Arabidopsis thaliana: one gene and its partner. The protein of the gene in region 1 purifies or fractionates together with the protein of each later gene. This does not show direct contact. Each region holds a gene or a part of one and is shown on either strand. Other genes may lie near its edges.

The links.
Region 2: the proteins of SYP42 (region 1) and VTI1B purify together in Arabidopsis thaliana (affinity purification with western blotting, with the first as the bait; one study listed by BioGRID). This does not show direct contact.

The regions. Positions count from the first base shown.
Region 1 is NC_003075.7:969,293-974,296, reverse strand, and holds SYP42 (syntaxin of plants 42), read left to right. Parts: upstream 1-1,954; 5' UTR 1,955-2,104; coding exon 2,105-2,295; intron 2,296-2,465; coding exon 2,466-2,742; intron 2,743-3,055; coding exon 3,056-3,145; intron 3,146-3,253; coding exon 3,254-3,334; intron 3,335-3,581; coding exon 3,582-3,659; intron 3,660-3,743; coding exon 3,744-3,809; intron 3,810-3,916; coding exon 3,917-3,997; intron 3,998-4,090; coding exon 4,091-4,198; 3' UTR 4,199-4,303; downstream 4,304-5,004. Other genes in the region: AT4G02200 (Drought-responsive family protein), read right to left, coding at 94-211, 307-539, 690-767, 997-1,038, 1,100-1,233, 1,440-1,521; AT4G02190 (Cysteine/Histidine-rich C1 domain family protein), read right to left, coding at 4,946-5,004. UniProt on the Arabidopsis thaliana protein: Contributes to the regulation of secretory and vacuolar transport pathways in the post-Golgi network, and to the maintenance of the Golgi apparatus and trans-Golgi network (TGN) morphologies.
Region 2 is NC_003070.9:9,214,057-9,218,629, forward strand, and holds VTI1B (Vesicle transport v-SNARE family protein), read left to right. Parts: upstream 1-1,713; 5' UTR 1,714-2,046; coding exon 2,047-2,143; intron 2,144-2,803; coding exon 2,804-2,862; intron 2,863-2,951; coding exon 2,952-3,140; intron 3,141-3,316; coding exon 3,317-3,487; intron 3,488-3,584; coding exon 3,585-3,737; 3' UTR 3,738-3,954; downstream 3,955-4,573. Other genes in the region: AT1G26665 (Mediator complex, subunit Med10), read left to right, coding at 454-677, 767-847, 935-1,037, 1,121-1,210, 1,299-1,370. UniProt on the Arabidopsis thaliana protein: Together with either SYP41 or SYP61, required for membrane fusion; the fusion of phospholipid vesicles containing SYP41 or SYP61 and VTI12 is triggered by YKT61 and YKT62.

The DNA of each region.
Region 1 (5,004 bases):
AAGTAGAAGTTTGACGATAAACAGAAGCTCATTGGCTTATACTACAGAGTACAGACTACTTTGCGAGAGTTTCATATACAAAGACTTATGCTCTTAGAAGTTGTAAATGTGATCAAATATGGCTGATGATATTAAACCTTGTACAAACTCTCTCTTCTTTGCCTTCTCTAGTAGCTCTGTATCTGACAAGGGAGACGGCGATTCCCAGTCTCTGAGCACACAGAAATACGAAATGTATCTTTAGACAAGGTTTAAGAAGATGAGATAAAGCAAGCAGAATCAAGAAAATGTCAAAGAATTACTTACTTTTCTGTTGAATCCCTTATTAAGCTATTGTCTTCCATGCTTGCTTCACTAGATGAATCAGGTTGTACAAGCTTGGACTTCTTTGGTGACGGCGGATTGTATATAAATGATAATAATGGGTCCAGAACACTTTTAGATGTATGATTAGTAGACAACGGCTCATCGATTAGAGACTGTAAGTATTTCCTAGTCCCTGGAGAAAATGCTGAATATGACTCATCCTTGTAAAGTCTCTGCTTTTGTTCAAGGTAAGTATTCGTCAAGGAACACAAATGTCAGATAACCGATATAAAACATACCAAGATATAGAATAAGCACAAAAAGACTTACAAGTTTTCTACTAAATGGTAACGAAAGCAAGAAGAGTAAATAAAAAAGGATACCTTGAAGACATCTCTATGCTGAGTGGTAATGTGATCAACCATATGCATCTTCACTCGTCTGCTACAAACCGGACATATCTACATCACAACCAAAGCTGAATTTGTGAGAAGTTATTACATTCATCATCACCAAAAGACTGTTTTCATTTCTCACACCAAACACTTCACAACTACAAAATGGTTCCTCATAGCATCAAGCAAATAATCCAAGTGAACTAAAATCCAAGAAGTCCCTACCAACTCTCCTTACAGAATCACAATCCTGCCTACTAAAGTAACCATTAGAGTACAACAATGAACATCACACGATAAATAGTCTAAATTTACAACTAACTGCTTCATGTAAAAACTCAAATGTATAGTTTAAAGAACAGTAACTGATTTGGGAGATGGATACGAGTTGCAATTACCCCATTGTTGGCGTCTAGTTGATGCTCCTCATCGATATGGTGACACAATTCAACTAAATCATAATCATCTGAGCAAAACGGGCATGGATAATCCACTGCCATTTCATCATCATCTTCAAACTCAATACATGAACCTAAACAAAAATTTCACCATCACAAAACTTTTATCAATTACATAACATAAAGTTTACCCATAAAGTGACAAAATTTAAACTCACTAGACCTTAAGGGCCAAAAGAATTGAAATTTGATAAAGAAATTAAAACCACCTGCATATAAAGCATAAACCCTAAAACAAAGCTAAATGCAATTGGGAAAAAGAATGGATCTTTACACTAACCCGACTGATACTTGGCAAGTTCTTCTAATCGATATTTCTTCGACGAATCAAACCCACAAATGCCCAACAAATCTTCTTCCATTTTGATTCTGAATCCACACGAACTTGAATTGAAAAATCTCAGATAATAATTAAAGGAGCATATTCTTCCTCCGTGTATTTATTAGCATCTGTCAGTACTTTGTTCAGCCTGAAAGTGCGAGGAAACACACCAAAAAGGCAAGACCTTTAAATGTGGTCTTTTTCTCTGGCGACATGAGGGAATCCATGGACACGAATCTATTGAGCTAAATCCAATGACCAAACTACCCCTAACCGGTCACTATAGCCTCTTTTACCCTGAACCACCAACGTCCCTCTGTTGACTTTTAGCCGCCACGAATCTACGGGCATTTTCGTCTTTGCGCCACCGTCTTAAAACGTGTGCTCCACACACTTATATTGACCCTATCGCGCAAGTGGACTATAAGCCCAATATATAAATGGGCCTAAAAAGGCCCAAATACTTCTCCTTCGTTGCTAAGTCTGTAACACGCGCTAATGAGAAACGATTTTGCGATTCAGATTCGTTTGCTTTTGCCGACGACAAAAGCTCCGATTTTGTTTATTTTCTCCGGGAAATTTTACTTTCGAGATTCTGTTGAGAATCAATTGATTTGGTATTGATGGCGACGAGGAATCGAACGACGGTGTACCGGAAACACAGGGATGCGTGTAAGAGCGCGCGTGCTCCATTATCTTTATCGGCGTCTGATTCGTTCGGTGGTCCGGTGATCGAAATGGTTAGCGGTTCATTTTCCCGGTCCAATCACTCCTCTTATGCTCCTTTGAATTCCTATGATCCTGGTCCATCAAGGTAATAATATAATGTGTTGTTTGATTCTGCAAAACCTGGGAAATTCTATGAACTTATATATAGAAACGAATTGTAATCATGGGATTGATTTGAGATACAGAATTAGAACCCTAAACGAATTAGGTAACAGAATGAGCAAATGATTTAAGTGTTGTTGTGAATGTTTGCAGTAGTGATGCCTTCACAATTGGTATGCCACCAGCTTGGGTTGATGATTCTGAGGAGATAACTTTTAATATACAAAAGGTGCGAGACAAAATGAATGAACTAGCAAAGGCACATTCAAAGGCTCTTATGCCTACATTTGGAGATAACAAAGGGATTCATCGTGAAGTCGAGATGCTCACTCATGAGATCACAGATTTGTTGAGGAAGTCAGAAAAGAGATTGCAGATGTTATCTACTAGAGGGCCTTCTGAAGAATCAAATCTCAGGAAAAATGTGCAGGTAGGTTGTTGGACACTTTTTCAGAATCGAGCTTGTTAACAATAAAGAATGCATGGTCATTACCTTTTCTTTTGTGCTTTTAGAGAAGAAAGTTAGGAATTTTGGGTTAAATCACTCTCATATGTTTTGACTACCTATCTAGTTGACATTATCAGTCAGCAAAATGTATGAAGTGTTTTTTTTTCCCTCTATATAATGTACTTTGGGTTATTCTATGTTTTGAGTTTGTAGCATGAGGATAAAGTTCTGTGTACATGTATAGTGGGGCTCTCCAATGGACTTGACCTACTTTTTGGCATACTGCTTTTGACAGCGTTCTCTTGCAACAGATCTTCAGAACCTTTCCATGGAGCTCCGCAGAAAACAGTCTACTTACTTAAAACGTCTGCAGCAGCAGAAAGAGGTATGTTTCCTTTATTTTCAAGAAATAAACAAAAAAAGTGTTGATTCTTGAGACATGCATGTACCGTAATATGATGTTCTTATTTGTATTTGGCTTCTCTAATCATAGGGTCAGGATGAAGTAGATTTAGAGTTTAATGTGAATGGAAAGATGTCGAGACTGGATGAAGAGGATGAACTTGGTGGGATGGTAAGTGCTTACTTGTATTGTAAAACTATATATCATTGACAAATTAATAAGGACTTAATATGGTTATCTAGCTAGAGCAATTCAGATTTTTAATCAGTTATCCTTGTCTTCCTTACATTTTTAAGAAACACTTCTTATGGTTATCATGCTAGGACGAGTCAGATTTTTTTTAATCAATCTTCAGAACCTTGTCGTCCTTACTCTGCCAATACCATAATGAGAATCGCTGGTCTTCAATAAATTGTAGGGTTTCGATGAACACCAGACAATCAAGTTGAAGGAAGGGCAACATGTCTCAGCGGAAAGGGAACGAGAGATACAACAGGTAATGGAAGTTGTTACTCGACCATATTTAAGAAGCTGCGTGCTTCACATTTTCGATGGCGATTAACTTCAGAGTTCTGTCTAGGTTCTGGGTTCCGTGAATGACCTTGCACAGATAATGAAAGACTTATCAGCCCTTGTGATTGACCAGGTGCCTAGCTTAGTCATTAAAAGGCTTATGAATTACATAACTGGCTAGATACAAAGTTTTTGCTGGCTTCTCAACAATTAGTTTTCTTATATTCTTGTATCAATTAGGGCACGATTGTTGATCGGATAGACTACAATGTCCAAAACGTTTCTACATCGGTCGAGGAAGGCTATAAACAACTACAAAAGGTTTGATTCTTTACCCAAAACTCATAAGATTTTGTGAGTACTACAGATTTTTCACCGTATGGAACTCACAAAGACATTTCAATTTTTAAATAGGCGGAGAGAACACAAAGAGAAGGAGCAATGGTGAAATGTGCAACTATACTCCTTGTACTCTGTTTGATCATGATTGTTCTTTTAATTCTTAAGAATATTTTGTTTTAGTCATATGCCAACAATTTAGAATGAAAAACAGCTTGTCTTGTTTGTAACAAACAGTAACCCTCTCTTTTTTCTAGTTGAATTCTCTTTTCCAATCGTTTTACCAAATCTGTAGAAGTATTTTGTGTAAACCGTAAATGGTTAAAATCACTATAGTTAAGAAATAAACTGACACTAAACTACCTAGTGGGAAAATGTGATAATCACTACAAGAATCACTAGTCCTCCAAATTCAATAACACATGAAGGAAATCAAGTAATCAACTCATAATGAAAAATTGAAAATGATCTTTTTGTGCAAGGGAGAAAAAAATAAAACAAAAACGAATGCGTTGGCTTCACACACTTTAGATTAGCAAACCTAGACATATAAACTCATAGAGAAACTCGTGACAAGTTGTTTTGAGGCTCATGTTAAACAAAATTTTGTGACACTCGTGCAAGACGATGATCGTCCTCTTGAACTAGAACAATGAGCCGAGAGTACTCCTCTCAGTGCTATGCAAACACAAGCTCTTTGGGTAACTAGGGTTACCTCTTTTTGTTTTTTTATTGATTTTCTTAAAACAAAAGACTGAAGAACAAATACTCGATACAACTCTATTTATACTCAAAGACTCGATTCCTCCTTGGACCAGGATTCAACGGAAAACCTTAACGAAAAATAAAGGAAAAATATTCAAACGACCCTAATAATTTCTTGAACACAGAAAAACGTGTGTGACACACAAAGCCCAAAACTAAACATCATCAGTCTCTCTTTGTAAAACGCTTTATGCAAATATCAGAGCAAAGATAAGAAACTGAGG
Region 2 (4,573 bases), on another chromosome or scaffold:
CAGTTTAACACAGCTGATGAAGAATGAAATAAAAGTATGAACGAAACAGATACAAGATAATGATATTCCACGTCAGCAAAGTGTCCAAATATCTTCCGCTTCCCTGTCTTCGTCGGTCCCTTTTCGGTTTTCACGGTAAGGCTCGGAGGAAAACCTAATTCGTCCGGAGAATCTCCACCTCACTCTCGCCAAACGCATCTCTGTTGTAGGTAAGTCACGGATCTTCATTCTACGCTAATTGTTATTGTTATCGTTATTCTTGATCTGGGCGTTTTTGTGGAATTTGCATCTAAAATTAGAAATTTGGATACCAAAATCCACTCCAATTGAATAAGGTTTCTGAAGAATTTTCGTTTGATTTTGAGATCGAAAATTGCGTTTTCTCGTTTTTGTTTTGTTATCGCTAACGCATCAGGTCATATATCTCAAGTTTATATTTTGTGGCAGCTTGTGATGGATCCAACACAGAACACAAGTGCAGGGATTGGTGGGAGCAATGGTACAATCAGATATCAAACCAATGATGGGACTTCAACTGTGACCGTTGCTGATGATTCAAAGGAGAATCTTTCCCAAGTCATAAACTCTATTGAGAAAACTTTAGGAGTCCTTCATCAGTTACACCTTACCGTCACTTCTTTCACACCCGCGTCTCAACTCCATCTCCTCCAGCGCCTGTAAGTAACTCCTCTACTCATCTGTGTTTATTGTTTTGGGTATTGTAACTATTGTTTGAATGAATATGTGTGTGTGTGTGTATTTGCAGTAACTCTCTTGTGATGGAGCTAGATAACATGACTAAGTTGTCTGAGAAATGCAACATTCAAATCCCCATGGAGGTTCTTAAGTGAGAAAACAAGTCCTTTTTGTTTTTAGTATGCACTTTGAAGATAGATACTTTTACTTGCTTACTTATGTTTGCGTTTTCGTATAGCTTGATTGATGATGGGAAGAACCCGGATGAGTTTACGAAAGATGTTCTTAATAGCTGCATAGCTAGAAATCAAGTTACTAAGGGCAAGACTGATGCTTTTAAGGTGACTCCTTTTCTTCTGATTCTTAATTTGTGTATGATTCTTAAGGTTACTGAGTCTCTTAATCAACATTTTGTTATAAATAGGATTTGAGAAAACATATTCTGGAGGAGCTTGAACAGAATTTCCCTGATGAAGTCGATATGTATAGAGAAATCCGTGCTAGTTCTGCTGCTGTAAGTTGTTAACTTCGACTAGTATTGTACATCTTCATTAATATATTATAGTAAGTCAAGGGGATTAAACAGTTTTGGTCATATTCAGGAAGCGAAACGGTTGGCGCAATCGCAAAGTGTGTTACCAAATGGGGATGCAAAGGTCAAGAATGAGCTATAAGAGCCCAAAGGATCCTTTTTATGTTTACCTTGTACTCTTGTAGAATATAATGACTGAGTCGATGAATGTGATGTAACACGAACAATCCCAAGTGGAATTTCTAATAATATCTGTTGGTTCTCTTCACCTGGCTAATATAGTTTGAGAATCTCTGCTTGTTCCCCCCATTTTTACTCGAGTGGACTATCTTACTCTTAGCCTCTGAGATCTCTTTGATTTCATGAGACTATCAAAGAATCCCACATAGTTACGCAAAACAGATTCGACTTCTATCAATGGATTTGTCTATTTCCTGGACGAGTAATCTTGGTTCTGCATAAAATGTACACTATTTCCGAGAGCTGAAAAAGTGAGAAAAGACACTTAGATTTCAATCTTAATTAACGGTTTGATTCGGTTTGGTTTGTCTCACCTACATTTGCATCGATTGCAGCATGGGGGACTTAATACGCAGTGGCTGACACGTGTCAATATAAAACGCACCGCTTTGTTTGATTGTTCCTCCTTGTCCCCGAGCAGAGAAATACAAAGGAAGAAGAAGAAGAGTTGTTTGATTATCTTTAAGCAAAGAGGAAACTGTTTTGCTTCTAGATCCGATCCAATCCAATCAAACAAAGGATCCGATTGATCAGAAAAAATCCACCAAATTTCTCAAGATCGAAACATATAATTGAAGATGAGCGACGTATTTGAAGGGTACGAGCGTCAATACTGCGAGCTCTCAACCAATCTCTCTAGAAAATGTCACTCTGCATCGGTTCTCTCCAACGGAGGTAAAATCCAGACGCTCCCGATTTCGGATCTTGAACGCGAGATCTTCGAATTTACCTGATTTTAGAAATTCGAATCTTCGAATTTGGGGTTATTGGAGCTTTTGAGCTGTGACAAGTAGCTGGTGGACTAGTGTTCTTTACTAATCGTCCTGACTTGTTTAGGATCTGACGAAGTTTTGTAACATTTAGGAATGTTGAGACATAGGATCTGTTTCTCATTGCTTGGATTAGAAGACGATAACCTAGTTAGGTCTAGATAGTTATGTAGTTGCATAGATTTATTAACTTGTTTCTCAATCTATTTCATCTAATTTTGTCCGAATTTGGGGGTATTTGTAAAGTAGAGGTGCATGAGTGTTTACTAATCGTTTTAGCTTGTTTACGATCTGACGAGTTCTGTAGTATCTGGGAATGTAATTTACTTGGATTGGTCAAGTAGTTTTGTGAAGAAATTAAGACTGAAGATAAGATCATAAGAACCTAGTTATGTAGCTGCAGAGGTTTATTGAGTTGGTGTTTTTTTTCATTTGTTTGTCAGTCTATGGTTACCACTGTCTTTCTTGGAGTTATAGTACATAGACATGCATGGAGTTGTTACATTTTGTGGTGCCATAGAACCAGAGTAGAGGTTTGATTAGATATTGTTGTGTGCTTTTATAGAGGAGAAGAAGGGGAAGATTGCTGAGATCAAGTCTGGAATAGACGAAGCTGATGTCTTGGTATTTGCATTTAACTTGCTTTAATGTTGTTACCGTTCTGTTCTTTCTTTTTTAAAATTAATATATATGCTTCTGTGGTTTTTTTGTAGATCCGGAAAATGGATCTTGAGGCAAGAAGTTTGCAGCCGAGTGCTAAAGCTGTGTGTCTTTCTAAACTAAGAGAGTATAAATCTGATCTGAACCAATTGAAGAAGGAATTCAAACGAGTCTCTTCCGCAGATGCTAAGCCGTCTTCCCGTGAAGAGTTGATGGAATCCGGAATGGCGGATCTGCATGCAGTAAGCTTCTAACTCCTAAATAGAAACTCTTGTTTTCTCATTATCTTAGTTGTCTTAATTGACTTGCATCAGTTAGGCTTCTTTGTCCTGAGGGGACCCTCCTTTATATTCATCTTCACACAAACTTTTAGATGGCAAAGACTTTGCTGTGATTTACATTATTGTCCATGTTCCAGGTATCTGCTGATCAAAGAGGAAGATTGGCAATGTCCGTGGAGAGGCTTGACCAATCAAGTGACAGAATCAGGGAGAGTAGAAGACTAATGCTGGAGACAGAAGAGGTTGGCATCTCAATTGTCCAAGATTTGAGTCAGCAACGCCAAACCCTCCTTCATGCGCACAACAAGGTACCGTCTACAATTGCTCGGTTTGGTATCTATCAGTGCCAATGATTTGTTTGAATTAGATCATTGAGAAGCTAACTTTTCTGATTTTGAATCACAGCTTCATGGTGTGGATGACGCCATTGACAAGAGCAAGAAGGTGTTGACGGCTATGTCAAGGAGAATGACTAGGAACAAATGGATCATTACATCGGTAATCGTGGCTCTCGTTCTCGCCATCATCTTGATCATCTCATACAAGCTTTCTCATTAATATACTCAAAAAACATTATTCATCGTGATTGTGTATATATATATGATGGTTGATTTACTTTGTAATGGCCCAAGTGGTTACTTGTATTTTTAAGTACGATGTTTGTATTGAAGTGGCAACACTTTTAACATTCATAAGGTTTCCCAAGTCTTTTCTTTTTTGTCTTTTTTTCCAAAAAAGTGGTACTATTTTATATAAAGCAGATGTTTCAAAAGTTACAACTGTGGAAACTTCCACTTACATCTCAAGTCCAACCTTTGAAAACTTACAACAATGTAATTCCAAAAAGAACAAACACTCCATTGCTCAAAACATAAGGTTTTCCAAGTCTTTACATGAGCCAAAGATCTATACTTATAATGTTTTAAGAAAACTAGGACACCTGACACATCCTTGCCGGACCAATCATCTTGCCGTGATCACCAGTCGCAGGCAGGAGACCCACTGTCACGTCAGAGCATGAAACAAAGGCCTCTCCTTCTATCTCTCTATTTAAAATAACATCAAACATTCACGACACCAAAAAATACACACAAGCCAAACATAACAAGTAAAACTATCCCCGAAACAAATAGTTTTATGCAGTCCCGGCCCGTCCATAACGCAGCTAGAGCATGTGTTTCTGTCGTGAATTATGTTTTCTATGATCTCAGCCCCTGTTATGTTTTAAACCACACGTTCTGGTCTTCAAACTCGTTAACCCATTCCACCCTATAAATCCCTTCTTCGTAAGCAGGGATAGATTGACGAGTGATTGAAAATAATCTTTAATGATCAAGAATTTCCTCCCATTCGCCGGAAATAATTCACTTAACCACCAAATGAAAGAGTTTTGA